2 linked regions of the Neodiprion lecontei genome follow. The main gene of each other region encodes a partner of the protein of the gene in region 2 in a complex. Links are inferred from orthologs where the notes say so. Each region holds a gene or a part of one and is shown on either strand. Other genes may lie near its edges.

Region 1 (13,603 bases), on a different chromosome or scaffold from region 2:
GAATGTAATACGCGTTTATACGGCTAAGCTGATCTTGACCTGAATTCAAGGAATAGGGAAGTTGGAAAAAAAGGAAAAATGGAAACGAAATACGAACCCGGACGCTAGTAATTAGAGCCATTTATAAATATCTAAAATTCATCAGTCTCAGGGAATTTTTTAAAACTGCAGATATAATGGTTGAATTATATCACGATTCCAGCGATAATGTCTCTGATGGAATACATGCAGTGTCAAATGGCACCCCCCCCAGTACTCGACTTGTTTCCACAACCTTGTAATCGGACGATAGAGTGTCTTCCGAATTTATGCTGCCAAGAGGGGCCGAGTAAATTTTGCAGACCACCTAGGAAATCTGTACTAGCATTGGTTGCTCAGGCTACGCAGGTGACTACAAAATTTTTCAATAGTTTCTTGTTTCGCTCAATGTATTGTTTTCATGTCAATTGAAAAAGAAGCGGTAAAATCGATGTTTTTTTTTGTTTGTTTCAGAGGTTTGCAAGGGGCTGAATAGTTGCGGTGGACCGAAAGATGTGAAGGAAAAAGCGGTTGATCTGTCTAATTTTTCAATTACACAGCCATTCTGAAGCAATGGTGATAGGAATATTAATTTAGCACAAATGAGAATGAAAGAAAAGTTGGCGTTTTTTTTTTTAAAGCTGTTTTACTGATTCCCCATCATAAGCGAAACATACATTTAAATAATCGACATCACTAACATACTCGTGGACAAAATTATTCAATATCAATTCATTTTCTTTCTTATGTTTATATACTTCATATTCAAATGAAAGCTTGTTTATCATACGAATCAGCCCAGCGTTTGAGGTTTGGTGTTTCAGTCCAGCTGCAAAAGATATCAGAAGAAAAAATAGTTTTAAATTTGATCCCCAAAAAGTTACATGTAGAAACGATATTGGTACGCATGTTGCTCAAGTCATTAATGATGCTTTGATAATGCGTTATTGGTTGTTCCAGTACTCAACTCATTAGATGTGAACAAATCAATTTTTGTCACGAGTAATAGTCGATAATAATAATAATAATGTTTTATATCATTATAGCACTGGCAAATTGTGTCAGACTCATGATTACTTGTCGACCTGAACACTTAACGAGTACAATTCAATATACGTTAGACTATTGAAATTAATGGATATACGGTAATCAGATAAGATTAAAGTTTTATGAGAATCCAATAGTGCTTAAAACTATTTTGCAAACGCATAATCAAGTGAGCGATTAGAAATTCAGAATTTTTCATCTTTCGATTGCCGTGCTTCCATTCTCAGATATATTGTTAATGCATTGTACACAAAGGAACATCGAGTAATAAATTAAAAACATTCTGCGGCTGCATTTCTAATAGTTTCTCAGTAATATAATTGTGATACGTTTCTCGTATTAATTAAAATTACCTTCTTGAAGCCAATGTCGGCAGCGTACTCCCTGAAGCATTGACGGCAAATGTTCAGACCGTATTTTCGGATAAGACCGTGCTTGTTGGCACACGCTCGGCTAAAAGACAATGAAAAATATTAATTTCCTCATTCGTCGGATTGAGTAAACAGAAATAAAAATTTAGGAAGGACATATCGTCGATCGGATTCTTTTAGGTTGGAAAAACTTGGAATACATCTGAGAAAGTTTTATCAATAACGTTAGTTCAAAGCGATTTCAGGCTTAACAGCTATGAGATTGCAAAAATCGCGATGGGATAAATATTGCTGAAAAATATCGAGGGAGGAAAATGCGTGCTGAAAATGACGTCATAAACATAACCTATGAAAGATTGATAAAAAAAAAACGTCGCGTTACGTAGCGGTTCGAAGTTTTTTTGAAATTGTCGAGTTATCGTAAGCAGGTCTCCCGAAAATTGTGGGTGTTTTGAACATTGAAAAGTCGCGAGCTGAGCTCGGACCTGAATTGAGCGGAATTTGCATCATTTAGGACATGTGGACGAGAGGTTCGACCACGCTGTGGGAATAACGAGACCTGAGCAGTCCGCGTGGAGTTGTGGAAGGTATCTGGACCCGAATCTTTGGTAAACAGGACCGGGAAAAGACTTCTGGTTAATTACTCACCAAGATCTCGATCCTTGGCCGTATTTACGGGGGTGAGAATACCAAATATTCTGGAAACCCATGTTGCGTTTTGAGGCACCCTTAGCGGAAAAGAAGCAGCGCGAGCTAGAAAGCCGATAGGAAGTTGGCCGGTTGCGAGTGCTACCTGGCGCTGTGTTCGGAAACTAAACTACACGCTAATTTTTTTCAGATTGTCAGCACTGCGGGAATACACTTGGCCTTCGTCAGCTTCAGGGCAATACGCCTGACGGGAGGAGTGACGGCAACCTAGTAAACATCAACCACAGTGCTCAGCAACAACGTCAGCACGCTTCGACCGATCGAAGTTTCGAGATTTCCTCCCAAGTGAGAGTTCCGCGCGGTGCCATTCGCTCTCGAGCAGCGCCAGGTGTACGGCGTGCTTTGTAACCGCGAAACTCGGATCGTCTGTCCCGTGCAATTTGATCGGTAATTTTTTCACCGCGAAACAATCGAACGACGTCACGCGAGCAAATAGCCTAATCGCGTTTTTTAGTGCAGTGTGTGGTGATTATATCGTCAACGACCATATCACGTCTATTTTCAAACTACTTCACGCCGGTAGACCTGCTGATTAGGCATGTCATGTCTCTCAATCACTGTCGACTGTTGCATCGAATTTGGTTTCTGCAAGGTTATTTGCTGTTTACGTGGCCGGAATGTTCGTTGTTTATTTGACGGGTGACAAATTTCTTACACATAACAGGTCCGTAAACTAAAATCAATCGAGTGCTTTGTTCGGTGATTGTTATCGCAGTGAAGTGGGGTGCAATATTGTGAACTTAACATGGATTCCATGCTCATACCTGAACGACCAGAGGATACATCTCCGGCTACCCAAAAGTGTTCGGTGAGTAGTAGAAATTAGTTTCACAAATTTGTATTGCCAAATACTCGTGTATTGTTCCAAACTGTCGTTTCTGCTAAACTAAACGCCTAATCTTAGGCACCTAAATGCCAACCTCGTGCATGCATAGTCAGTTGCCTACAATCAGGCGGCCCACTCTGCGAATTTTCAAACGATCATCATATTCTTGTATTTTTTTGTCTAAAATGATGAAGGTACAGAATATAACGTAAGACGTATGACGAAAAGAAAAAAAAACTTTTCTGAGCGCACGTCACACGCGTCATGTATGCGTGTTCTACGTGCATACATACATACGTAGGTTGAAATCCGGTTCTCCTGCGCAATGCATTCCACGTGCGCAGGTTGTACGAAACGTTATATTGGAGCGGGGCTGAGACTCGAGACACAACGGTACTTCGCGGCGATGCGTATTCTGACGTGATTTTTCAACAACACGGTGTACCACGCACGAAATTTTCTCTACAAACGGGTAAAACCAATATTCTAATGACTGTCAAAAAACGCCTTGTGTCTGCGACCTCTAACGAAGATGAAGAAGTATTTGAGAAGAGCGGGAAAAATTCCGACGGCAAAAAGGTAGGTCATTTTTCAAATTATGCAACGTTACGCACCGTTATGTTTACGTTTACATTCTTGCAATTTCTATTCGAAAGGGCTTGTCATACATTCTTCAGGCGGTGATGGAGTTTAGTCAAAATTGATTGACATTAACAAAAATTGACCCGTTTTTCAGAATGAAGATACTGCGGTCGGTACAACGGTTTTGAATACCAAACTTAGAACGATATTCAAACTATTTATACTCGGTATCGTTGGACCAGTCATTTTATACACTCTCTATCATCTGTCTTCGAGTTTGCAAAAACACTTTGCGAAGATCGAAGTCAAGGAAGTATTGATAAAGGATCGAAAACCGATATACTGGGTCTACGGAAGAAATCCCGACTCCGGGTATTTGAAACACGTTTTCGCATTGCTGGACCGACTCGGATTTGAGAGAGGAACGAACGAGTCGGACTGGGATTTGTTGTGGGCTCACGATTATCCCTTCAGATCGCTTTACTCGAGTCTTAACGCCCTGGCGCCGCACCAGAAGGTGAATCATGTACCGGGGTGCGGTTACATAACGAACAAAGTCGACCTCTCGACGTCGGAGTTGGCGAGGCACTTGCCGGCAGCTTTCAAGATACCAGAAGACAAGAAAGCCTTGCTAAAATACGTGGCCGACAACCCGGCGAAGAGTTTCGTCCAAAAGTCGAACGCACATCGGGGAATCCAGATACTCAATGTCTCGGACATCGATCTGGCATCGGAGGGGTCTTTCGTCCAGGAGTTCATTGAGAATCCTTTTCTGGTTGACGGGTTCAAGTTCGACATCGGCGTCTACACCGTTGTCACTTCCGTCGATCCTCTCAGGGTCTACGTTTACAAGGGTGATATTCTCTTCCGGTTTTGTCCTGTCAAGTACTATCCGTTCGATCCTGAGAACATCGACAAATATGTTGTCGGCGATGATTACTTGCCGATATGGGATGTTCCGTCGCTCAAAAATTACTACGCTAATCTGGGATTCTCCATGAAGGACTCTTTCGACAGTTACGTCAGGGCGCAGGGTAAGGATCCCCAGAAGGTCTGGGATAACGTTAACGATGCGATACGGGACGTCATTCTGAGTAAGGAGTCCCTTATCAAGGACGTCGTAAAACGGTTCAAAAACCAACACAACTTTTTCGAGATGATGCGATTCGATTTCGCAATAGACGATGAGCTCAACGTATTTGTCATGGAGGCCAATATGTCGCCGAATTTATCTTCGGCCCATTATCCGCCTAATCAACTGCTCTACGAACAGGTTTTATTCAACCTTTTCGGACTCGTCGGTATCGGCCAAAGAGTAAGGAAGGAATCGCTAAGAATTAGGTGAATCCTATTTTCGCACAGCTAATTCCAGAATCATAACCGTAGGGTTGAAGGAGAATTTTCGAACCTCAGCAATGACACACACAACGCGATTATTATTTCAGAAATCAGAAGGAAGAGGAAATGCAGGTGGCTGATAAAAATCTGGTCGTACTGCCAGAAGTTTGCGCTAAATGCGACGACTGTTTTCGAGTCGAATGCCAATTGTGTAAACCGTGTTTTACGGATGAGACAAGACACATTTTGTCGACCAGTTATCGCGAGCACCAGAACGCTATGGACTTTCAAAGAATATTCCCACCTCCTATCGTGAGTGACAAACCTGTGATACCTATAGAAAATTAATTGAAAATTGATCGCAGGGTGATTGGTTTTTTTTTTTTTGCTAGTTTGTTTTATTCGAGTATTTACAATGTTAATACCTTTGACATTTTACTATGCACTCTTTTTTTCAGACGAAAACAATGGTCCTCAAGGATTACACATTGAAGAATCAACTACTCGTAAGATGGTATCAAGGTAAATGTGAACTTGATCCCACGTGGTGCGGATAATCGTAAGTTTTCTACATTCTACTATCTTCTATACAGTATAGGTATATACCCTGCCCGAATTTTATGATACATCGATTACGACTGGGAAGATCTGCGAGTTCACGTTTAATGTGTAACGTGGAAAAAGTTAGATCTGAACTCTTGAAAGTTTTCGTTGTAAAAAAAGGTTGGTACAACTTTTAAAACAAAAATGCATACGGTACTCGATCGTACGGTACAAAATCAAAATAGCTTCTTACTCGTAAGAAGTATAAACTTAATTTTTTGGATACTTAGTACTTAAGTAGATACGCAATTTTAAAAGGTAATGTAACATATAAATTATCAAAATAAAAATCTGAAATATTGTAACCAAAATTTTCGTAGTGTTTTCTCTCATCAATTATGTTCCTTTTTTTGTTGCGAATAAGTTTAAAACACCGTCTCTTTTTCATCGTACAGAGCATCTATGCTACTGATATGGACTTACGGGTGATTAATCAGAGTTTGAATACTATTGTGTTAATTTATACCATTACTGCAAATTGAAATGAGATCCGATAAGAAAACGATTGCTACGATAGCACAACCTTATGCATTATTATGCATCGTACACTATTTGCTTATTATTTAATATCCACAGTCTGTACGTTTTCGTTGGAAAAATGGAAAACCTTCATAGCTTTCGATATCTCGTGAAAACAAGACTTGAGGATATGATTAAAAGTTGGCAAACGGTTTTTTAAAATTATAATAAAAGGAAATAATCAACCTACATCGGATTCAACTTTCTTTTTCCGACCTTTTTTAACTTTGGACGCCGGAGCGTTGGGGTTTGTACCTTTGTAAAAGTCTTTAAGTAATTGCATCGCATCGTCACCTCTGACGCTACCGGTAATAGATATTTTGTAATCATAAATTTTCGTCACATCAAACACGCTTTTGCAACCGCCGAACCGATCATTTTGACAACCATAAACGATGCTGCGAATTTTTAGCTGGTGTAGCGCAGCGGCGCACATTATGCATGGCTCAACAGTGACGATAACGTCGATATTCTCAAACACTTTGTGATAATCGATTCCCTTATCTTTGCAATATTCGAGCACATCATCTATGCAGTTTAGCTCGGCATGACGAGTTGCGTTTTTTGTTTCGTTGACAGTGTTGCGACCCGATGCTATTATCTCATTTTCGTAAACGAACAAACACCCAACTGGCACTTCTCCGGCATTCAAAGCCTCGGTAGCCTTTTCCAATGCCACATTCATCCATTCGTTTACGTTCATGTTTGAAAAATAAAAATACGTTATAATAATGACAACAGTAACAGCGAAGTATTATGAAAGAAATGACAAGAATAAAATATTAGTACGGATTATTGCTTAAATCGGAGCGATTGTATATAGAGTCTTGTTTTTGCACTTGTGACTATCACTCGTTGATATTGCACGCTGGATATCTGTAAGTGAAAATTTACTTGGCAAAATATCTCAGTAAATTTAACTCCTGCAATCTCTGCGCAGCCTTCTCACTCCAGTTCTCATTTCCCAGGGACCGGGGACTCGGGTGAGGTATGCACAACACCTGTAAAAACAAAACAACATTAATTACACATTGAAGTACTCATATTGGTAATTAGAGATGTGTAATTGATTGTAAGTAAAATGATCGATCCAGATGAATGACAGAGATCGTTATGTGATCGTTACAAACTTTCATTCTTAAGTATTGAATCTTGAATATTTAAACGAGAATTCATATTAAATAATAGATAAAATGAAATGAACCTGGGTGGGAAGTCCGGCAGTTTTGACGACAGTCTGTGCCCTTTTCTCGGCGAATCTTCCGATGCCGATGACTATCTCGATTCGCAAGAGTTTAATGGTGGCGACGAGTGCCTCGTCGCATCTGTAGTAAAGAGTCTTCTGTTCGAGGCCCTGAAAAATCCAAACAAGAAAGCAAAATTAAACCGAAGTTGGTAAATCCTGAATCGCATCCGATTTTCAACAACAATGAATTGCCTTCAATTCGGCAGGTGTAATGTTCCTTCCTTTGGTGTCCATGAGAGCGATGGGGCAGTAATTGTGAAGATAAGAATGCCTGAAGAAATTTTCAGGCGTTTGGCAAACGTCTTTGAACAGTCCCCAGAACCTTCGCCCACTTATTTCGCTCCTCGTGCAAGCAAATCCGGTCACTTTTCTGTCTGGCTGTTCCCTGACAGGTTTTCCAATGCAGCCCGAGAGCCCAAGCCAGTCTCTGACCATTTTCACCTCCCCGAAGGGGACGCCGGTCTGAGTCATTCCCCAGGGACCCGGGTTCATGCCGAGGAACAGGATCTTCTTAGTCGTCTGGCAGTATTTCCTGACGTACTTAGCGTGGACGTCGAAGGCGTACTCGATCGGGTTGTAGACGTACTCGACTGGCAGCTGGAACTGAATGCACCTCAGCTCCTCGGTGAGTAGCCACTCAAGCGACAGCAGCTTTTCCGGTATCTTCAGGATCGGATGGCTGAGCGGAGGGACAGCTGGGACTATGAAGACACCGCTTTCGTCGAGGGGGGAAATTTTGACGAGGCTTTTATCCCTCTCGACCTCGACTTCCTCTTCCTCCACCTCCTCGTCGTCTTCGTCGTCGTATTCATCCTCAGCCATTTTTTCCGGCACCTTTTTTAGACTCAGATCCAACGGCAGATCGTCATATTCGATTTTCGCACGCTTAGACGATGTCATTACGTTTTTTGCGTCTCTCCCGGTTTTTTTCAATTCAATATTGCTTTTGACCCTTCTCGGTCACGCTTGAAAACGATATCGATACTCTTAACGCGTCTGCGATACGCCCAGCACCTAATTCGTGGGTGACAGTCCCTCGGTTTATTGACATTTCAATCCGCATTTCGTGTATTTGTAAATACCAGTTCGACTGTGAATTCTTTTTTCATTTTGATACTGACTGTACCTATCTACCTATATCTATACGTATGCCTACCCAGTAACCTATCCGACGCAGCTTAACCGCAGGCTGCACGAACTTGAACGGTTCTGCGATCGGTTGGTACGAATCGAGGTACGAATTAGATGTTTATTTTATCTTGTATCTCGTATTGTTTGCTCTTGAAGTCTTTTTGCTTTCAGTACGAAATTCGAATATTTGATATTCGTCTGATGCTTTTAACCGCCAAATCACCTGACCAAATACGTTCGTTCCTGCAGTGTTCATCTAGCCAATTTCTATCGTATAGGCGTCAAACAATGTATTAAATTCGATATGAAATGCGTTCGAAATCCTAGAACGCAGCTGTCGATTATAAGAAAATTTCATTCTGCGAATCGCTGCACTTTTACCATTCATGCTTGCCAATCTACGAATGACATATAAACGTTGTCACGTGCTTCATACCGCAATAATGTTTATTCTACTTTACTCGCCGCGAATTTATTTCGCGAGATTTGTTAATCTAGCATAGATGCCTAGAAATTATAGGGGTATAGCAGTTGTGAAAATGAAATTTTTGCTACTACTTACCCTGATTTTTTACGGATTTCACCGACAACACATTCGCAACAGCCTCGACGACGAGTTGCAAACGCAACGAACTCGACGATCAGCTGATCGTGTGTCTCCAGCCATATTTAATTTCAGAGCCGACGGCCGCTTTGGAAGCGGGAATCTTTAAACACATGTTATCGTTCAGCCGTAATAGCCGACGAAACACAAGTGTGAATAGTTCTGACAGTGAGGAGTGAATTTATTCGGGAATTAAATTAAATGCGTGTCAATGTGGAATGTATAAACTTGAATCGACATGGAGTAAATTATGATAAAATACCGACTTCTCAATCACCCAAAGAACACAGCTTGAATATGCGCGATGCCGACGAATTACACGCGCAGGCAGTAGATTTTTCTAGTACTATAAGCGGAAAGATCACTCGTTCACGATGTAAATTTTACGAGTTGTTGGTTTACCTGGAAGAGGCGGTGACCTGATTTTAATGGTCATTTGAAAACAATTTGTTATTTACGATCTTACGAAGAAACGAGCGACTGACTTTATCAGTGTCCAGGTAAAACGATTCACGATAAAATAAAAAAAATAAAATAAAAAAACCCAAGCGTTGAAAAGGTATATAAGAGAGCCGGAATTCTCTCAACATGTTTACTCGGTGTCAAAATGTCTTTCAAAGTGAATATCATCGTTTTTCTCGCTGTCGTCATTGCGATGTCAACTACATTCGCCAGGGCATCTTCGCTTCGCGAAACGAAGACTCGTCATTCACGTTTCATCGATATCGGTTCGTCGGATCTTTGACTTTCTTTGCTTTCAATAATACTTGGTCATTTGGTAAATTTTTTTTTTTTTCCATTATCTCACCAATGCTCACTACGGAGGAAATTATTTTGTTAAAAAAATATGCGCTGTCAATTGTTGGCTGTCTTTTTCGCCGAGTCTTTTTCGCCAAGTACGATTCGGATAGCAATAACGGAAAATCATATTAAAACGCATTAAACGATTATCCGGAATTTCGTTGTAAAATTTTACATCACAACAGCGTTTTTTGCACCATACTCTATGATTTATCATTCTTAGTGAACGCCCTGTTTCCTCCTGTATGCACGGGATGTCCGATGCGTTTCTGTGATAACGATCCGGCGATAAATCTTGGATACTGTTGCGGGTGTCGACGAACATACGGTAAGCACGAATAAATAGGAACAGACGTATGATCGCCAAGTTTTCGCCTCCTCCGATCTTCATTCCTGTCCTTAGATATAATATATGACCTTTTCACTTCGTAAACATATACTTGCAGAGTTATTGGATTCTTATTAAACGGTCGAAAATGTATTTCCTGAATCTGTGATTCTTGTTAATCCAGTTTAGGCGTCATTTTTATCCACAGAAGAAAAAGAATCCGATTTTTTTCATTCCAGACATTCTGCCTGTGCTCTGTATTCCGGCCACTTATTGTCCTGGCCCCAACTTCATGCACGACGTGTGCAGAGATTACGAGTACATGATGCACTGTTGCTGTTGAGAAAAAAATTGACAACGATTGAGATGAAAATAACATAATAATTAAGAAAAAATATGACGTCATAGAGGTAAAGAATTTCAAGAGCAAAAAAAAGTAAATAAAAATAAACAAATAAATGAAATCGAAACGTCTTCAACAAAGAAGGATACACAAGAGGACCTTTCATTTCAGACGATCGACTTATTTTTTTCCTTGTAATCGATAAATCATGACCGTGACTGATATAATAAATGTGTACGTTATGCATCGTGTGCACATAATGCAATTATCGACTGAATTTCGAGAATTATAATTTGACGGAATATTTTATTATCAACGTGTGTCTGCATAGTGAGAATATTTATCTTACCGACAATAATTACGTAATTATTTACGTGAAATTTAACAAACATCACTTTTTTAATTAACTTTTTAACACGCCTACAACCTACGTACATGTTTCGCTGATTTATTCGTGACTGTATGAAAGTATTCTTACACGTACGCCATGATCAAGCGGCCATGCATGATAAAACAAAATACTTATATTATTGTACACATAAGTAGATGAAAATACGTAACAGCAAATCCCATCGGCACAAGGTATACACAGCGTACAGGCATCGTATTATATGTATAAATGGGCGATGTTCCCGCGTGTCTAACATAAATGCACATACTAATATTTCTTCATAAGGCTTCATCCTCGCGAGGATTCATCGCCTTTTTACGCTCCAGACACATTTCTATTATCTACCTATATACGATCTATAACTCCGCAGTATAATTGTAACGACCTATGCTTGGCTGTAATACATGAAATACGCTATTCTCGTCCTTTTTGTAGTATAGAATGTGTATTTGTTATAAAAAGAAAACAAAGTTTTCCAAGCATCGGGGAAACGAACCAATTAGAAATATATGATTGATCATTTTAGAAAGCCAGAGCATAAAAAAGTTGTCGCATTTAAAATTTTTGAAAGATAACCGTTGATAAGTGTATGTATGAAGTAACGGTAAAAATTATTGAATTACAACACTTATCATTCTATCTTTGCTTCTGCAGTTCTTGTTGTTGCTTTTAAGAAAGCTGAAGATAAAAAAAAAAAAATTTAAAAACACCACTTCTCACAATTACGGAACAAATGACGTATCGTATGCAATAAATGTGATCATCGTCAACGCATCTATGTATAAATTTATGTACGGGCATATAAGGCATACCTGTATGCATGTACCGATAGAATTCTGAATCGGAGTTAAGGTACGGCAGAGTCGTGTTACACACGTCGTGTAAGTGCGTTCATACATAGGTATGTACGTACATACGTACGTATGGATGTAAATTTTGAATATGGGGTGTGACGCGACGAATACATACGTCGTATAAGTGAACCATGCAAAGGGCTTGGCCAGGTGTGCCCTACATAAATAAAATACTGGTCGGCATGCTGTCGCAGCATCTGTAAGGTACGCATGTTACAAATGCCCGTTCAATATGTAACAACTTAAAATTTTTCATGCTCATTCCGTTGCTCTTCCTCTTTTCTGTTTATCAGATTTACTTTGAGAAAAATTTTGTTCAATTTTTATTAGTCCTCTCCTTTGTCCGCAATTTGCCGGCGTTTGGTACCTATCGTCACGTGGGCACATGGGTGACAATTTTCTTTACGTTTACACTCGGCGCCCGGTAAGCTGTAGGAACGAAATCAGAAGTGACGGCGACGGTACGAGATAACCGTGACGGGATGCACGTACTGCGTGTATGTACAGATGTGTATTTGAACGTGTTTGAAAGGTATCGGTTAATACCGTAGACTCTCCAGACTGCAGCCGTTATGCGGGCTACGGTTAATCGATGATTTACTTTCGTTTGACGCACTTACCACGTGTACGAAAATTATCGCACTACTTAATCGGTGAAAAATTGTTCAAATTTTAATTAACTTTCTCCGAAATTTATATGTTTCTCGGACGTTGAACTCCGCTTAAAATTCCAATTAATACGCGACGATAAGACGGAGCGATTTTTAAAATTGTCAGTCAAATCGATATGCAAGTCGTTGCGTAAAATTTTTATTCTTATTCTGGTTCGTTGGCCTTTCTTTCTTGCTCTCTCTTTCCGTGCTTCCATACATTTGAATTACCACCCGTTATCGCCTCTACACTTTTGCTGCACGTCAAAATTTGTTCCAACAAAATATGCATATATTAGGTACCTACATTCGACATCACTCGCAGTATCTTCGTACACACACACACACACACACACACACACACACACACATATATATATCGGTACAGAAAAAAAAAAATAAACAAGTAAATTATTACATACTATATACATACGATTATTTCGTAATTTTACCAATCATCTAAAAGAAAATTTTGTTCCTGTTTCTTCTCGAGGTGATAAAAATTGGCAATTTCATTTTCTACGAATCTGAGCGTGTAATAAATTTAAACTATGTTACACCGATGTAAAATCGTCATTCTCTCGAATCATTATACTTTATACGATTCAGCTGTTTATAAACAGCGGTTTGAAATAAAACAAGGATCTCCGTAGGATCAATACCGACATGCCGCTATGAGTTTCATGCTTTGAAGGACCCCCTTCACACATACTCGCAAAACGTCATCCCGCATCTATATGCATCTGTGCGTGTATGCGCGTGTGTATACACGTAAAATATGTGCGTGTATTATATGACGGCGGTCCTGCGCCGTGGAGAACTGCGCACTTGCAGAAGCCGTTGCTGAAATACGATTGTCAGTCTTATCCAAACAAATAATAAAGAACAAGAACAAAAAGAAAAAAAAGAAAAACCAGATTCGACACTCATATCCAAAGAGATTCCTTTCGATGCCCTTCGATCCATTTATTGTTTCGAAATACACATTTTCTTCCAAATTTTATCCGATGCTTATGTTGTAACGCAATTTCAATTCGATCCAATCACAATTCCGTCTTTGTCAATTAATATATAGAAAAAAAATTGAAACAAATTGATTTTCGAAACGTGCGATGAGTCTTCTAGTGCGATTCGAATCGTTGGGTCATGAAAATGCATTTGTTTTAATATGGTTTAACATTTTTCTCCGTTTACTGGGATATGCGCATACAACTAATGAAATAATTTTGTGCGTTTTTGTAAT
Region 2 (18,140 bases):
AATCCAATATTGCACGCTTATACGCACGTATATGTATATATATATATGTATATATATATATATACATACATATATATGAATTTTTTGAGATTCACAAATTGATTCGCGAATGTTTTTTTTTTAGCAGTTGAAAATTTCTACTACTATGCTTGCATTGCGTATAATATTTGAGTACATATTGGTACATCAGTTATCCAGCAGTAGCATCAACGGCAAATAGCAAGTAGCAAAATGCGACATAGATCGCGTGGGTTTAGAAGACTAGGATGTATGTATGTATGTATGTATATATATATATATGTATACTCTACATTGTACGTTATGGCTTTTTGCGTATAACGTACATGCATTGGTACATTAGAGAGAGAGAGACGCACCCGCAGATATATGCATACATATGTGTATACATATATCGTGTGGCGCTCATTGTTAGTCATGATCAGGAAATTGTCGATTGACCTCCGCGTGTTGTTAGTACACTGCATACCTATAATATATATATATATATATATACGTATAAGTGTATGTTACGACGACGTCGACGACGACGCTATTCTGACTATTGCGCATCATTTATTATTATTATTATTATTATAATACTACATATTTATTTATCGTCAGGGTTTCTATTCGTTGTTAAAATAATACCGTATAACAATTGTCGAAGATCGATGGATGAGCGTGATTATACTTCGGTTGAATTATATATATATGAGAAAGTTTGTTTTTTTTTCACAATCGTGATGCATATTTTTCGAAAGTTGAAGAGGGAGAGAGAGAGTGATCAATTATAACAGATGGTGAATAAAGAAGGGAGATGAGAGTAAAAGTATTTGTATTATACATTGATAATACTTACTGTCTTTTTTTACCAATTTATGTTCGATATGTTCACCGATTTGTTGAATGTTATCGACCGAACGACGTTTCAATGAATTTTCTTGCAGTACGATCTGTTGTTTCTGATGATGATGATGATGATTACGATTGTTGTTGTTGTTGTTGTTGCTGTTTGGGTGGGAGGATACGTTGTTGTCGTTATTCACGTGCCGCTGTTGTTGTTGCAACGGTCCAGATTGTTGATGAAATTCACGGGGCGACGAACTGCTCGAACGAATTATTATCAATCCGGATCCGGCGGTTGGATCCGCCGTCGGTGACGATGACGATGCTGACGATGACGACGACGACGACGACGACGACGACGACGACGATGTTGCGACCCCGGCTGCTGTCACTGCTGCTGATACTGTTTGTTCGGATGGAATTGGTGAATAACTTGGCGATTCGGTTTTATCCTCCCAATTTATCATAGCCGGACTGTTGTAACCATTAGATCGTTGAAGTCCCGTCTGTACGGTGGGAAAAATAAAATGATCAGATAATGAAAAGATGTAAGTAAGGATATGTCCGATTATCAATTCGTTGCTTACGAATTATCATTGAAATTGATGTTTTTTTTTGCAACATTGTGACGCGTATAATGGTGTAAAGAATATTAAGGTCACGTAACAGTCCTACCCTTACCGACCGAGTAAACTCACCCTTTCACTTTCTATATCGAATAACCATATGAACGGAAAGGGTTAAAAATTTTACGGTTAATAGCTGTTTATAATAGTTACGTCAATTATAATAATCGATGCAGAGCGACGAACCATTGTAATTTGAACACCTTTCCGATCATTTGTTTATTTAATACAGGAAGAAAAAGATGTGAGTTTGCTCGGTCGGTACGGGTGCTACGTGTCCTTAAATTGTGAATGTAAAATAATTTGGAAATCTATACGACTTAAACGTTGTTTTTGATTGAATTCGATTTTGAAATTTTTTTTTTTTTATTTGAATTTGATATCAAGAGGTAGTATTTTTCTTTTTTTTAAATATTTTTTTTCTATTACCTGCTGTACGGTGATCGTTCCGGCTATACTTTCGTGACTCGGTGATTGTAGATCATGATCTTCGTCGTACGGTGGCGATGATGAATTTTCGAGCCACATCTCGTCGTTAAGTGTACCGACGCCACCGTCCAGAATCAGGTGTAACTCCATTCGAATGATTTGGCGTTTCGTTTTTCCCGATTCCTTTTTTTTTTTTTTTCCCCTCTCTTGACGCTCTGCGGATTTACTAATTCTTTCGAATTTTTTTCAACGAATCTTTGATGTTTTATTTCCCACTCTCTCTCACTCTCTCTCTCTCTCTCTCACTTGTCTCTCTTCCTTATTTCTTGTTTCAAGTTGAAAAACGAGACGGGGAGAAACGACGAGGAAAGATAAATTTTTAAAACTATAAGCACTTTGCGACGTTTATTCAAAAAATTATTCAAACGGTCGGACGATTTTTGGTGAACGGTATGTGAAATTGATTAGCTTCGGTGGGAATTTAAATTTTTTACAACGCTGTTTCATCAGGGTTTAACAATTTTTTTAACAAAATTTTTAGATTTGTGATGATTACGTACGGTTTTCTATTCTTCCTCTGTGTATCGCTTTTTAATATCGCATTAATATATTATGGAAAATTTTCATACTTTTCAATGGTCGCGTAAATTGAGGATTGTTTTTTTTTTTTTGTTTCGTTTTTTCTTTTCTTTTTTTTTATTTTCAAGCAATTCTTGCTCGGTATTTTTTCATCTATCGCCGACGTCGCTTGATATTCGATTTTCTCTTCTCCTTGCCGTATGGAAATCTTTCTCTCTATCGATCAATTCTATACACGCTTTTACTTTGTCTCCTTTTGTTATTACTAGTTTCAGCTTTACTTTGTTTTTTTTTTTCCACTAAATAAGCAGCCTGCGCTTTAAAATTATTCCGCACGCTCTAAGGCTCTACTTCTTTGTTTTATCTTCTTTCTCCTTATCTTTCTCTTCTAACACCAATATGTACTCGGGTTTCTTTCTATAAAGGATCTTTTTTTTTCTACCTACGCGCAGTATGAACTTTATTGTTTCTGCTTGTGTATGTTTGCGTGTGTATGACGTGACTATTTGTGAGTTAGTGTGTTTCGCGCTACAATTTCTTCTTCTTCTTCTTCTTCTTCTGCTATCTATTTTCTTTTTTTTTTTATTTCTTCTGACCTTCGATTTCGCAAAACGTCCTTAGAACATTACGAAGAAACTGTTGTACAACTTTTTGATACCCGTTGTTTCGCGTTGACGGTGGGTTTCTAGCAGTGCGCAGCCCCGCGATGTCGAGGCCAGGAAACGGGCAAAAACGCTGAACACGTCCTCGAAAACCATCGCAACACCCAGGCTTCTTCGCATTTTCATGCTAGAAATTCGAGTTGTTGTTGATATCAATATTATCAATATCGATTTACTTATCTGACCTAGTATTTTTCCTTTTTTTCTTTCGACGAGTCTGGTTTTTTCTGTTAAAAACACTTCTAGTTCTTAGGTTTTTTATACGTTCGTCTATTCTTCACTGTTCTTGAAAAAATGATTTCTTTTTTTATGTTTTTATCCGGTTCGCGTTTTATCACAATTAATCATAAACGTATTCAAACCTTTCGATTTCGGCGATAGGGTAATAATAATAATAATAATTATTGTCGTTATTCACTACAGTTGAATATAATTTCACTCTTATGCTATTGATGTGAATGTTAATTTATTTTTTTACTTTTCCCCAAAGATATTATAAATTATAAATATTCTTCCGTTATACGTTCACTCCTTTTAGCGTGTACGACGTTGTTCTCCTCTTCTTTATTTCCGGGCAGGATTTCGTCTTCTCGTTACGGTTTTCCGACGATCGAGCTTTTCCTCGAAAACTTGCGAAAAATTTTCTACTTCTCTATTTATCTCTCTCCTCTCTCAATTGTTTTTTTTTTCCGCTGGGTTTTTCTATTCTTTCAATCTCCTTCTTTTTTCGATCTTTGCTTTTTCACTTGTTTAACAATTATCGTCTGGATATTTTATCAAGGCAGGGATTACACGCTGTATCTATTTTGACAAAATTATCTACATATGCATAAGTATATATACGATTTACTATATGGCTCACACACAAGAGAGTGTCTGGATCACTTGAGGCCTTCGCCTTTCTCCTGTCACCACATTTTCAGAATTTTCAGCTCCATGGCGATTGGATAATGATGAATTTAGTTTTTCAGCTAGAACGCGGATTGCACAACGCGCTTTTCAGCCTTTTTTCCTGCTGTTTATAAATTCCCTCTGAATTCTGACGGTGAAATTTTTGCTCCACGCTTCGCGGTCGCGTTTCTTTCTTTTATTTTTATCCTTGGATCCTATCCGATTTATTTCCAATCGTTGTTACATTCTCTTCTTACTCGACGTCTCTTAACGTTTGCGTGAAACGAATTTCAATCCCGAAATAATACGTGGAATTTTTTTTTTTTTTTATTTCAAAATTTACTTTTTATTACAACTATTTAATGCAAGTTAATCTCTCTCTTTCTCTCTTTCTCCCTCTCTCTTTCTCTCTCTGTGTGTAAACCGGCAACACGACGATGCAAAAGGAGGAGGAGGACGACGACGATGTACTAGATCAGAGACGGAATATGATGAGAGAGTCGCTCGGGAATCTCTTGCCGCGCAGCATCGGCTACTTTTACCGTCGACCAATCGGCGTTATTCTCCTTTCGACGGCTCGTCCAATCGGGCAACTCCTTTCGAAAATCCAATCCGCGGCGACGGCTCACGGAGTTTGCTACGCTTGCTTGCTATTTGACTCTTATTTTTTCAATTTATATCACTTAGCGTTAATGCCTAAAACGACGGACGACGACGACGACGATGACGATGGCAGCACAGCGAGACGAGAAATAAGACGTGTCTAATTTGTATTTATTACAATATTATACGTGTATGTATGCATGTGTATGTATGCGTGTATTAATTTGTTTCGACGCTAATTTTTTTTTTTTTTTTTTATGCGTTCAAAAATGTTTTTAACATGAATTTAATTGCACTCGCGTGTGTGTAACAATATTGAAAATATTCGAGGAACTCGCGGATTTTTACGTCGATTGAGAAAATATTGTCGTTTTATTTATTATTTTTTTTTTTTTTTTTATTAGAAACTTCTCCTTTTTCTTTTACTCTTTGATCAAATTTTGTTTGCCACTTTGTCGTACTTCTTCGATTTTGGTTTATCTATTTTTTTTTTTTTCCCTTTCCTTTTTCACATCAGCGAGACGAGTAGCGAGCCGCACGTTTGTCAATCAACGAATGACACAGAAACTTATATATGTATTATATATATATATATGTATGTATGCGAAGGTATAATAATACGCGTTATTATACTGCAGAGATAACTTATCTCTCTAAATTAGCGACGATTTTTTTTATCCATTTGTCGTTTATACAACCCAGTCTCTTTATAAATTTGTGCGAATTTTTATTCTTATTACTATTATTATTGTGTTTTTTTTACGTCTTTTTCTCCTTCACGAGAAGCGAAGTGAGGAGAAAAAAAAAAAATGCAATCTTGAAATCTCGTCTTGTGTATAGTCTCACTAAGATGGGACGACTCACTACTGATTCTCTTTGTTTCACGACGACGGTAGCAATTGGTAGCGATTGTTCTGTTCTTTCTTACGTTTTTTCCTTCTTCTCTTCGTCTTCTTCTTCTTGTCCTTTGATTGTGCTCCCTTAACGACGCAATGTGCACGCTGAAACATAAGAGGGGGGAAAAAAAAAAAAGAAAAAAAAAAGAAAGAAATTTTGCGTGATTAAATGTGAGAATAAAAACGATACGAGGACAATAAAATTTAATATAACTCTAATTAAGAATTATTAATTATATTTTATTGTTAATTGGAGCAGTTCGTAGATTTTTTATTTTCTAGGAAGAGTGAGGGAGTAATGAGAATTGATGTATTTATATAGAACATGGAAATCGATGGAGAACGTATTTTCGAACATAGGGTTTGTCGTTTATGATTATTATTTGCTTAGTTTTGGGTTTTTTTTTTTTTTTTTTTTTTTTTACTAAGAGCGTATAATGATTTTGAAAAATTCCACGAGATCGTTATTGCTTATTCTCTTTGCCGCATACGCGGGCAGGCGATGCGATGGCTATAGTCGTATGAAACGTATGGGACGTTGCGTGCCGCATGGCGGGTACGTTAAATATTTTGCAGATTGATGTCAATTCGACGGGTCAGTGATTACGGAACGCTAACCACTCTTCTGTACTCCTTATAAATATGCCAAAATGCTTCCCAGCGTGGCAAGAAGAATCAGACGAATGCGAACGTCGGAGAGAGAGAATGTATGAGTGTAATGGAAACGAAAAACTACGTTGAAAATTAGAAATAAAAAGCGATGGAAATACGATGTATGGAAAAATGGGGGATTGAAACACAAATCAAAACTTATTTTGTGTTATTATTGATTGTTGAGGTTATTCAACATATTCACACGTTTCGCGATTATTGTTGGTATGAAATGTGATCGCGGTGAAAAAAAAAAGAATTAACAAGCCCTTAAAAATATACGAGACAGCGGTGTTTTTTTTTTTTGTGTCGCAAAATTAGTTTACGCGCGTTATTGAAAATATGATGTGAATTTATACTTTTTTACACTTTGTTGAGGAGGAAATTAACGAAATGCTATTAAATATTCGACCGAGTTCTTGGATTGAGGGAACGTTGAGAAAAATGACGAAATCTTAACATCAACTTTAGGCAGGTTTATACGTGAGAATTAACAAGATATTTGCGTGACAATTAAAGAGGTATTTTTGTCGTTTCTATTATACGATTGAATATTATTATGCTTGTGGGAATGTTAGGTGTATATAGATGTGTACGTATATATATTGTTCATAAACAAGGCGTGAGGAAATTTTTTTAGAAACATTTAATTGTCCAGTTAATTAATCTCGCAATATACATTTAACAAGGACAATAGCATGGCGTATAGTATTATATTTAGGTAGGCAGAAGAAGATTGATAAAAAAATGATAATAATAATAATAACAACGATCGTTAAATAATTGTATCAGGTAAATGCATAATGATTAGGCAGCAACAATTAAACAGATCACATCTTGATCACGTACGCGTGTATTCATATGTATAATTATGCAGGTGAAATGATGATAATAATGATAATAGTAAGAATAATAACAATCACTATAACAACGGTCAATCGTCATTTGACGGAACGTTTTTCAATATCGGCGCAAACTTGACGGCATTCGTTTTCCAAAATACCGGACCAAACTTGATAACGATGATTAAGCCCGTTCGTCGTGTGAAGCATAGCCTTGCTCCCTAGTACCCCGTGACCCTCGGCCTTGACACCATAAAATATTTTCGCTGCCCTCGAGTGGAGGAGGGCCATCGCGCAAAGAGCGCAAGGTTCGCGGACCATGAATATCCAGTAATTTGTGCAAAGGTAGGGTCCTGTTTTATCGGCTTCCGGTTGAAGCGGCTCCGCGGCAGGTAGTTTAACGTCATCGAGCTCCGGGGGATACCGATATGCCGTCGAGGCGCTGCGGTCGAATTTCCGCTTGCCGCCGGTGGCGCCGCCGTCTTTTTCTCTTACCGAATCCTCAGCTATCGAAGAAGATTTTCTTCCGATCCAGGCACCGCCACCCTGGCTTTTAGCCACCAAGTCAATCGCCAACATGGCCGCGTGCCAGAGCGGATGCTCGTTTATACGGGCGGCTGCCAGAGCCACCGATTCTCCGGTCAACGGATCGACGATCAACGCGCTTCCGGCGCAGTCGGTATTACCGACCGAGGATCGACGGGCCGCTTCGATCGCGGCCAGCATTAAAAGTTCCATTCGACTCAGTTGGTAATCGTTGAATATTTCACCGGATATTATAGCCTCGGTTCCTGGATCTGGGTGGAAATTTAACGGCCATATTTTACTGCAAACTTCGGCCTGACGTCGCGTTCGCGCAGCTCTAGCGGGGACTTTGATAATCTCGAAATTTTCCTCCAGTAACGATACGTCGAAACCCTTTGATTGCAAATCGTTTCGCATAACGGTTGGCGATCGGGTCGTGTTTCGATTTTCTTCCGTTATTGAAGAAGGGGGTTTTTCAGCATCTTTGGTCACGGTTTCTGGTTGGTTTTTAACGTTGTTCTCCAACACTTTGCCAATTGAATGGGTCTCTGTTAAATTCTTGACGTTTAATGTCGTATGATGGAGTTGGGAAGGTTTTACATGCACTGGTTCCAAAAGTAGACGGAAACCGTTGCAACGTTTCAAATGACCGAAACCAGGCGATGACGACGATATTTGCTTTATTGCTTTCGACGTTGTACGTTTGTCTTTTAATATTCCTACGTAGACAGTTTCTAGGGGTATTTCTTCGGTTAACGATAGTCCCAGTACCGCTTGCGGTCGCCAAGAACGATTACGCTTTTTTGTTGGACTCGTTAATGAGCTTGACGACGATTTGTAACGATGTTGACGGTGCTGATGGTGATGATCCTGATCGTCGTTGTTCGTTTTTGCTGATTTTGGCTCCCGCGACGTCATACCAACGATGATGATAATGACGATGACAATGATGATGATGATGATGATGATGACGGTCTTCTTGCATCCGATATTTCCCTGAAAATATCTTCAATTCACTTTTACGTATTGCGGATGATGACGTTTTATTTATTTATTTATTTTTGTTTCTCAATTTTAAATTCCGTTTAATTGAAAGTTTTTACTAATTTAGTTTTAGCGAGTTATATAATTCGTGGCATTTTTTTGTTTGTTCGTTTGTTCTTCTTTTCTTGTCTTGAATAAAAAATGCGTTGATTTTATTTATTCAGGCGTGAAATTGTCAATTGATACATTGAGAATGAAGAATTAATTAATTTTAATTCTTGATTGATTCGACGAGGAAATTTAGTTTTCTTCGACTTGAGAAAGCAATTATTAACTGACCAGTTGAGAAGGGAGAATAATTGATGATTGAAAAAAATCACTCATTACTTTTACGAAGAATATATAAATCACTGATTTTATCAAAATTGAGGAGATTTTTATTTAATTCTGTGTAATCACTACGGCAACATGAAATTATTTTTACAATTTTGTAGAAGTAACGAATAATAACATTTCTCTTGAGACGAATAAACTTGCAAGTAGAATAGAACCGAATTATTCTATTGTAGAATTTTATGAAAAATCATGTGTTTATGAGCGGTTTTGAGAAATATTTACCTCGCTCTATCATACTATACATTGACAATAGACATTTTTATTATTAGAATAGCGGAGGAAAAAGGAAAATTGAAATGCAACTGCTGTGCTTATCGGAATTATTATATCGATATAGTTATGCATAGAAAATGGACGTAGTGATAATTCTTGAGAGTGCCTGCACGCGTTGGTATACATACATATATATATATATATATATATATATACACACACATATATATAGACATATGTGCACAATGTACGTGTATTGTGCTCTTGAGCATCGTCTAACCGAGGTGGAGCGCAATTACGTTTAACTAACGCAAATGATACGACCGTGGCCTGACTTGACAGCAATTTATAATTTGCCCCTTCGCAGGCATCGCAACATCTCGCAAATCGTCGCGCGAATAAAGACGATTTCCAGCCCCCGCAACGTTCTGCGAATATATAATATGCCTTCTGGATACAAAGACGCGCGTCTTGCTGTCTCGCACGGAAAAAAACAACAACGACGATAATAAATATGATAATAATAATGATAATCATAAGAAACGTTCAATTTGCGCTACAATTCGAGCACGTCTTTTTTTCGGTGCTTCTTTTTGATCATTTCTTTTTTTCTCTCTCTCTCTTCATTCAATTCTGATTAGTGGAATTAATCTTCGATTTTAGCATACGAAACAAAAAGGAAAAAAAGAAAAGGAATGGTTAGTAATTTGGAAAAAAACTCGCTGAAGTGAAAGTAAATTTATTTCTTTCCCTCGCGTTCTTTTCGCAGAGACGAAATGAAGGCATATAATTTATATATGTATTTTATTTGTCAAATATATGTGGGAGTACATGATATTTAGATTGAAATTTCTTTATCGCGTATAAATAAATCGTTCATTATCACAGCTGATTCGTTTATTCGAATAAATTGGAACAGACAAAAATGCAGCACGCATCATCGATGATCTTCTGCAGAGTTCAAGTTCGTGTATGTATACATATATTGTTACATTGTTATGTTACATCCCAATTTTCAAATTGTCATACGTATGTAAGTACATAGGATACATCGTACCGCGGATGTAGTTTATATCAGTTCAGCATGAGATTTTGTATGTATAGGTATACGTATACACACGTATAATATAACTTTTGTATATATATTATATACACACTTGGAATCAGTTGCGTTATACAATCTGACAGTAATCACGAGATAACAATGTACGATTGTAGTCGGAACGTTTCGTTTTCACGTATATACGACCAAGCCTATATAATCATTCTCTCTGTTTTTTTACAACGCGTTAATAATAATCATAATAATAGTAATAATACGTTTAAGCTCCGATTTTGAAACATATAGCGCGATAGCGCGACGCAAGTAATCGTTGTTGTTGTATTAATTCTTACATATTGTATTGTTGCTGAGTTGATTACATTAAGGTATTTAAAAAGAAAAAAAAAATAATGTTAAAAATCTAACGGAGTATTAAAATTTGTTAATTTTTTTTTTACGAAACGCGCGCTTCGTTCAACTGTTGCTCCGTGGCGTTTGAATATAGGCGGGAAAAGTGGCGAGGATGACGTGATAAAGCGTCGCGTAATGGCCGTCTCTCCGTTTAGTACTATACCTATACCGGTAGGGAATTTATCGAGCTTACGTAACTCGTGGCGAATGGGATCAAGTTTGTTACACTGCGTGCAGTTGGTTATGTTGTGTGTACCGCAATTGCTTTACGCACGAACATATGCGAGATGAGTATGTGTAGGTTTTGTGGTCGTTGGCGTTCGATGTTCCTATAATCCAGTATGAGATTCGATATGGAAACGAGATAATAAATATATGGGAAAATTAATAATACGGGAAGTTTGGTGTGTATGAATAATTGTGAATTAGGGTGAATTGATCTGTTATATCGTATCAGGATGAAAAAATAATTGGGGAAATCGATGTGAAATTGTGACGGAAATCTGATGATTTTATACTGTATAGATTTTTATATATAATATAATTTTGCTGATTGTAGATGAATATTGTTTGTTTGTTTAACAATCGAAAATCGATCTAGCATTTACCGAGTTCAATAATCCAGATATAAACGGCTTTTGTTTATTGTAACGGATTATACGCAAATGGATCATCATCACCATCATCATCATCGTCATTATCGTCATGGTCATTGTAATAATTATCAGTATCACAACGTATACCTTATTGTAAACAATACCGTTTCAAGACATTGGATTCATATTAATTATAGGTGCGAAGATGAAATTTTTATCTATTTGCAACGTGTTGGGTTTATATTATTGTTGTCAGTGGGATGTTGGATATTATTTTATGGCTAGAGAATTGAAATGAAAACACGTACTGTTGAATGTTTTTGACTTCCTTCCTGCACGAGTCGAGTTTCTTGCAATTTGTTTGTCCGGTCTTGAGGTTGTCTTTGCGTTGTCGTTGTGTTGTTGTTGTTGTTGTTGTTGTTTCTTCTTCTTCTTCTTCTTCTTTTTTCTATTGTTATTATTATTTCTTTTTCTACAATTCTTTTACTGCTGCTAGCGTAATTCAGCACGAGCGTATGTTGCTGAGTTTTTACACGTACTTGTATACGTATTATATTCAATGATAGAGGGACATGTGTGTATCAACACACATGTGACGAATAATTATTTTCCGAATTATGTGCAAACGTGTTGCAGAGATGAAGATGAACGTTTCACCGTCAAACCGTCAACCTGAAACGCACCAGGTACTTTGGTTTTGGTTTTTATATCGACTGAGAGATACTGTTTTAACGTGGTTTCAACGCGAAAACGTTCAAACACGGGTCATTCGAGTCTCTGGTAGATGGTCGTCTCCCGGCACGCAACGCGCAAACGGGCTATGACTAACTTGGCACGTTTACAACGTGCCGCGAGCCCTGACGGGAAAACCGATAGTCGATAAGACGTCTAACTATTCCGACGAGTCAGAGCTAACTCGAGATGAGGCATTATTTAATTGCGATAGCACGATTAAGATTAGTTGACGTGTTTATTGCTTTGCGTAAAAGTTTGGTTTCAAATGTGGGTAGATTGATTAGTTTGTTCTTACGAATATGGATTTTATTACGGTATACATGTGGCATGTGTGATATTACAGTTGAAGATTGGAAAAAATTTTGAAATAATTTCATCGACTAGGATATTGGAACAAATGAGGATTGTGTGATGATTGAATAGAAATATATAATTGTATAATAAATGGGGTCACTTTCATGGGATTTGAGCGACGAATTGTCACGTTCATCGTGGAGAGAACAGTTAAAGACGTTGGGTTTATATTATTGTTGACGACATGCGGAAGACGTTTGGAAAACGATTCGTCGATGTTTGAATTTGAGTGACAATTGAAACTATTTTGTAGGGATTATTAATTAAGTGAAATTCGCGTAGGATTCGAAATATTTTGTGTAGGCTAACGCTGCGTCGTACAAGTACTGGAATTCCTTCTGAAAGTAAAAACATGAATAGTATAGGGATCAAATGGAACTCCGGTTTGGAATTGTTTTTACGGAAATTGAATTGAAGTTCTTATCGCAGAGTAGTTGCTTTATATCACACTTACGTCGGATCGGACAAACTCAGGTCTGGACCTGCGAACAGTTCGAACGGCGGAAATAACGTCGCATACTCGTTCGACTGCCATTCGTTGGAGGAGGAAACTCATCGCCAGGTAAAGGCCACAGCCGGTAATGCCGTCTCTGAAACGCGGGGCGTGAAATTAGCGGAGGTCAGAGAATTTGGAAGACTCTGTCGAGCATCGATCGAACGTTACCCACCGGCAGAGAACCAAGGTCTGCCCTTTGTCGCGCTTGATAGTTTCCGACGTTCTCCAAATCGAGAGCAACGTGGCGGGTGCCGGTGGCTTTTCGTTTTTATCGCTTTCCCAGCCGACGCAAGTGAGTATCGTCAAGGCACGAGGACTCGATTCTTCCTGAACGGAGACGGTGTCAAAAGACGGGTTTTTGAAAAAAAGGATCCATTCGTTTTGTCATTTACCACATTTCGTCGTCTATGGACTTACCGCCAACGTGTCGGTTACCAGCAGCTCGAGTTTCACGTAAGATTCGTCGACGAACCGCGTTTTCGTTTCCACTCGTATGTCCGGAGCGAATCCGGCTGTCATCTTATTGGGTATTATGTCGCAGTGAATCTGTTGAGCACATTTTGGTAGTACGATTATTGAAGCGAAGAATCGGTTGGACCTAGGTGAAAGCTGCGTTGCTTCGAATTCTGCATTGTTGGTGTCTGAATTACATGCAAGATCATTCGTTCGTCGACCTTTCACGCGAAAATTCAAAACAACTGAACCAAAGTTTTCACTTTACTTGTTTCTAGGCTGAAACTTGATCGTCTTATTCTATTTTTCATTGAGATTTATGCAGACTCTTTGAAAAAGACACTCTGAAAAGTCAATCCAGCACTCGCAGTAAAATTTATGAGTATTACTCACGGAGTTCTTGGGATCTGCAGGCTGCAATACGATAACTAGTTTCACACCATCCTCGATAATGAAACGCCAGAATTCCGATAGGGTGAGGGGCGAAGGTAACGGGGATGCCAGGTATTCCCTTTTCATACCGAGGCCGTCGACGCTGACCGCGTTTGTGTAATTGCACGGATTTTTCAACTCCAAATACAAGCCGTTTTCATTCCCTTTTCGACTTTCTGTAATTCGTAAGGTTATCACCAAGATTCTCAATGATTCTCATGCAGGGCTTTGAATGATTTGTTAATTTGAAATATTCCGACCTGCCGTCAACTCGTTGGAAGTCGAAGGTTCGGATTCATCGCCGAAGAAGAGTGCCTGCTCCTGCCATTCGGAGTCATCGAGCCTGTGGACACAGGTACAATCTTATCACGGAACGGCCGAATTTCTCGACGTGTATTGACACGGAAGCTTTCGAGTTCGCTTACCGTTTCACGTCGGCCGGCAACCTTTTTTTCATTTCCTCCACACTCTGCGAAAAGGCGTCGTTGCATTCCACGGACGTCGACGGTTCCGAAATACTTTCCGCAAGAACGACGTGAGCCAGGTTGTATTGCTGCTGAGTGCTCACCATCATCGCGCGGCTCTTCCGCATCCGTTGAGTGACCCCGGCTACGTCGATCATCTGCGAGAACGGTCTTGATTCATTGCTCCCGAAGAGTTACAACGCTGTCGTGGATTATTTTATTACTCACGTTCACAACGGCCGCTTCGCGGATGCAAATGTCGCACAACATGACAACGCCAGTGCGACCGTCTCCGGTGGAGCAGTGAACCAGGACTGGTCCGTTACCGGGCGGTGTTTTCATCAGTTTTTTCAAATACTGGACCAGGGGTTGCGGGTCTTTCGGCACTCCCTGACTCGGCCATCCCGTGTAGTGAAGGTGCGTCACCTGTTACAAGAGCTGAAGATTAATGGGATCGCTTCGATCAATGCTCGGTACGCGGGAAAAATCGCAAGAAAATTGATCAACTGTACCGAACACTACGATAAAGGCACGAGGAGTGCGGAAAAACGGAAAGTGGCGTGCAATCCCAAATCCATTTCAATTCATCGCCTTACCTTCCGCGTATTCCTTTCGTGGATGAGATGGAAGGTTCTGAAAGTATAATTCGCGTACACCTGGTGCTCTACGTTCGCAACAACGACATCGCCGTATTCTGTCTTGGTCCTCACGTCTGGCCAGTACTGCTCACACATCCTCTGCAACGTTTAACGAAGTTTCAGAGAATTCTCTTCATTTCAATAAGAGATTGTAATATCTCTGAACCGAATCTTCTTTTCTACCTTATCGCCTTCCACAACGTTCGTCAGCATGCATATCACCCTCACATCGTTTTGCCAAATCATTCTCCAGAAATCGTTGACCGTATTCGGCATCGGTCCCTGTGCCGCGATGTAGGCCCTCTTGCCGTATCCCTGTTCGGGTGAATACCAGTTTTCGTGAATAAATATCGCATGCTACGGCGGTTGTACCACGTTATTAAGAATCAACGGTACGTCGAAATGCTTTTACCTGAATGTGACTGGCGTTGATGTAATCGGAGTAAGGATCCTCGAGGATTCGGTTGAGGACAACTCGCGTCTCGTCATCTGTAAATGTGATTACAAGCAGTAAGAAAGAAATCCTAACGATTTTTTGAGAAACTCAGAGTTGATCCATTGCGGAAAATGCAGTTATTCATCTTCAGACCGTTAAATCTCTGTTCAAGCAGCATTGACATTACATACATGGTATTTGGTTCACGCATCTGTTCTTTGGCATGTTTTCAGGTAACTTTCCATACTCGCACCTTTTCGTTGTCCCCTTAGGAAGATTCTGTTGGGCAGAAATCGTATTGAAGGTTAACAGATGTGTAGTTTTTCGACAAATTTGGCAGATGCGGAGAAATATGATGATCCGGTTTCACGCAGTCAAGGCCTACCATTTTGATAATACCAATTTCTTACCGTAAATTGCGAATACAGTCCTCCACTGGTAGCCATGTATTTGGCGTACTCTTGGAAGTGCGGTACGCTTATGTAGTTTGAAAGCAGCTCACTCGGTACAGCGTACTCGTGCATCACATCATATCTCTCTGAAATGTCGGACGGATCTGATGATTCCTCCAGACTATGGAAAGTCATCGAGACATTCGTACTTGTCGTTTCTTTCATTGGCGGTATGATGTACTCACCGCAGTTGTCCACGGATGAGAGTTTCTTCTGATTTCTGTATAATTAAGTTCATTTATTCTACAAATAAGAAGCCCAAATGGCACAGTAACTTGGTGAACTTGTCTAAGAGATGACGATGCTTCAAATTTGTTGGTACATAGTTTGAACGCTTATTCGATTTGAAAAATTTGCGACTTCGCTGCATCGCATTTTATGGAAGCATGCAGGTTCAGCATTCGTCTGCTAAACGTGATATGGTCCAGTATGAATACGTGATTTCAAAACGTAATCAGCAAAGCAAGTTCTTTGTTTGGGTGAAATATTGGATATTGTCGCCGGAGAAATAATATTCACTAATAGTCACAGATTGTTGATGAACTCTATATACTCTTTTCGCGACCCCCGTTGACCACGCTTGGTGTCGTCTTCCGAGATTAAAATCTGTATTACACCTGCCGTGCTGATTACATTGGGCTGATCAAACACTGCCACGGAAATGTTGGCATGAAGCACTTGCTTACCGGTAATAAGCAAACAGCAGTAACGGAAGAATCGCTATGATTGGAAAAATAATGACATAAAGTAAATATTGTTTCCAAGGACGTCGTTCAGGAACAGCAGCTTGAAAATCCGAGGAATTTTCTTTCGAGATGAACAACTGTACTGCATTTTCCATAATGCTTATGTTGCGCTGATTGAACGCTACCAAGGAAATGTTGTAGCTCCCTGATTTTGACAGGTAGAACTCCGTGGTGTACTCTTTGCGATTCGGCTCGACAGGAATTTCCCTGACAATGGGAATTTGGTGGGTTAATTTATCAAGTTGACGTCGATCCAGAGGACTAACGCGGACGGCGAATCGCGTGATTTTCGCGCCACTCGATAACGGCTGCTTCCATTTCAGGCTCACGTTACCGCGATTTTGCGTCACCGTGAAATTCACTCGCCAACTGAGATCTGGGGACACGAAGGATGGTTCAATTCATTACATTTGTTAACCTCGCGGTTAACTTTTATCTTATGAATAGGTAAACTGGTTTTCATTACAGAAATCATACGAGGCTACTTTAATGTAATCAGAAAATAATCCTTTAGCGTGGCTACGTAAACTAACTTGATTTGCACGATTCTTCCAGCGAGAAGGTGATGTTACTCCGGATATCAAATCGATCAAGCTTCTTGCCCATCGCGTGAATCTGTGAATGAATTGTATTTGGCGTCAAATAATGATAATCTATCGATAAGGGCATTTTACTCTAACTGAGTGCAATTTGTCTATAGGTGTGTCGACGCACGCACCGTTATGTTGACCTTAGCGTTCGAAGGTAGGGATACATCTTTTAAGCATGTGTGATCATCCGACAAATCACAGATCTGTTCTTTCGTATTACCAAAAGTCATATTTTTGGGGAGCTCGTTTCCTTCGGCGATGGACACTTCGTAGGATTCGATTCGGTCGTGAAGAAGGACTGACGGAATAAATCGCAAGGAGATGGTGCTTCTGTCGCAGTCGGCATCGTACGCTTCCAATTCTGTCACATCTTGAACATAGCAACTCGTTAATGTAGTTTGCGTTGCGCAGAGTTATCAAACTGTTCGAATGACGTGTAAGTTTTCGAGACGGTAAATGTCATTGGCAGAAGGCTACGGCATCCGAGTTTCAAACTCGCTCGGTCCTCACCACGTGGGGTCGTCCAGGTGAGGTTCACATAGTTCGTATTATTTTCCATTCCATGCCGAGACCTTGTCACGTAAGCACGGACATTGTACTTTACACCGGGAATAAAATCGATCAAGCTTAAGTCGAGGTTCCTATAGGTCGTTTCGTAGTGATGTATTACGCGCCGCATGCCGTCACTGACAGCTTCGAATTTTATTCTTGTCCATAAGATACCGCCCGTGATTGTAGTACAATCCTCAGGCCAATCCCACCGAAGAAACCTTCCTCCTTCTTCAATTCGGAGGTTGTGAATTACCGACGTAGGTATCACTGTACAAATCAGCATAAGTTGTTGAAAAGAAGGGTTTTACATATGCTGCCGAATTTGTTAGACATGCACAAATTTTTGGTACCCACGAGTTTCATTCGTTTGAAAGTTATACTGCTTTGGTGGTCCCTTTGCACTGTCGATGTACGCGAACACGGTTGCAACGTACGAAGCGTGGGGATGCAAGCCATCGAAGAAGGCTTTTGGCTGGATCACGGTTCGTTTCATCGGCTGCTGTTCAGGAGTCTCGCGACCGCTTTCATAGCAACCAACCAGTGCATTTACCTGATTACGAAAACATAACGTGGTTGATAAGAAACGTGCAGTAGGTTATT

Evidence for each region.
Region 1: the proteins of probable inactive tRNA-specific adenosine deaminase-like protein 3 (region 2) and tRNA-specific adenosine deaminase 2 are in contact, whole or in part, in a crystal structure (PDB 9HMM), measured with the Mus musculus proteins. The link is inferred for Neodiprion lecontei from reciprocal best matches to the Homo sapiens genes ADAT3 and ADAT2. Residues at the interface, in NP_001094076.1 of Mus musculus: Val217, Ala218, Pro220, Leu221, His223, Ile229, Asp230, Ala233, Gln236, Gly237, Glu270, Ser272, Pro274, Val276, Val290, Met291, Met294, Ala295, His298, Ala299, Pro311, Asp312, Leu318, Phe319, Val321, Arg324, Asp326, Leu327, Asn328, Pro349; in NP_080024.3 of Mus musculus: Val62, Asn63, Lys66, Asn67, Ala68, Thr69, His71, Met74, Ile77, Leu81, His85, Pro91, Cys107, Ile108, Met109, Ala112, Ala113, Leu116, Met117, Arg130, Phe131, Val137, Leu138, Ile140, Asp144, Leu145, Pro146, Asn147, Thr148.

What each region holds. Positions count from the first base shown.
Region 1 is NC_060264.1:168,024-181,626, forward strand, and holds tRNA-specific adenosine deaminase 2, read right to left. Parts: upstream 6,721-13,603; 5' UTR 6,716-6,720; coding exon 6,194-6,715; 3' UTR 5,854-6,193; downstream 1-5,853. Other genes in the region: uncharacterized protein LOC107220724, read left to right, coding at 203-387, 493-510; 40S ribosomal protein S29, read right to left, coding at 839-847, 1,419-1,518, 2,085-2,146; probable tubulin polyglutamylase ttll-15, read left to right, coding at 3,460-3,549, 3,707-4,893, 4,998-5,202, 5,349-5,447; single-strand selective monofunctional uracil DNA glycosylase, read right to left, coding at 6,903-7,013, 7,217-7,366, 7,451-8,158. UniProt on the Homo sapiens protein: Probably participates in deamination of adenosine-34 to inosine in many tRNAs.
Region 2 is NC_060262.1:1,603,492-1,621,631, reverse strand, and holds probable inactive tRNA-specific adenosine deaminase-like protein 3, read right to left. Parts: upstream 11,976-18,140; 5' UTR 11,501-11,975; intron 8,547-11,500; 5' UTR 8,469-8,546; coding exon 7,125-8,468; 3' UTR 6,503-7,124; downstream 1-6,502. Other genes in the region: transcription factor CP2, read right to left, coding at 860-1,352, 1,902-2,051; receptor-type tyrosine-protein phosphatase alpha-like, read right to left, coding at 12,545-12,619, 12,736-12,871, 12,950-13,104, 13,195-13,323, 13,624-13,838, 13,923-14,005, 14,088-14,284, 14,355-14,552 and 5 more; uncharacterized protein LOC124293721, read right to left, coding at 16,178-16,372, 16,482-16,774, 16,932-17,013, 17,117-17,358, 17,499-17,807, 17,895-18,090.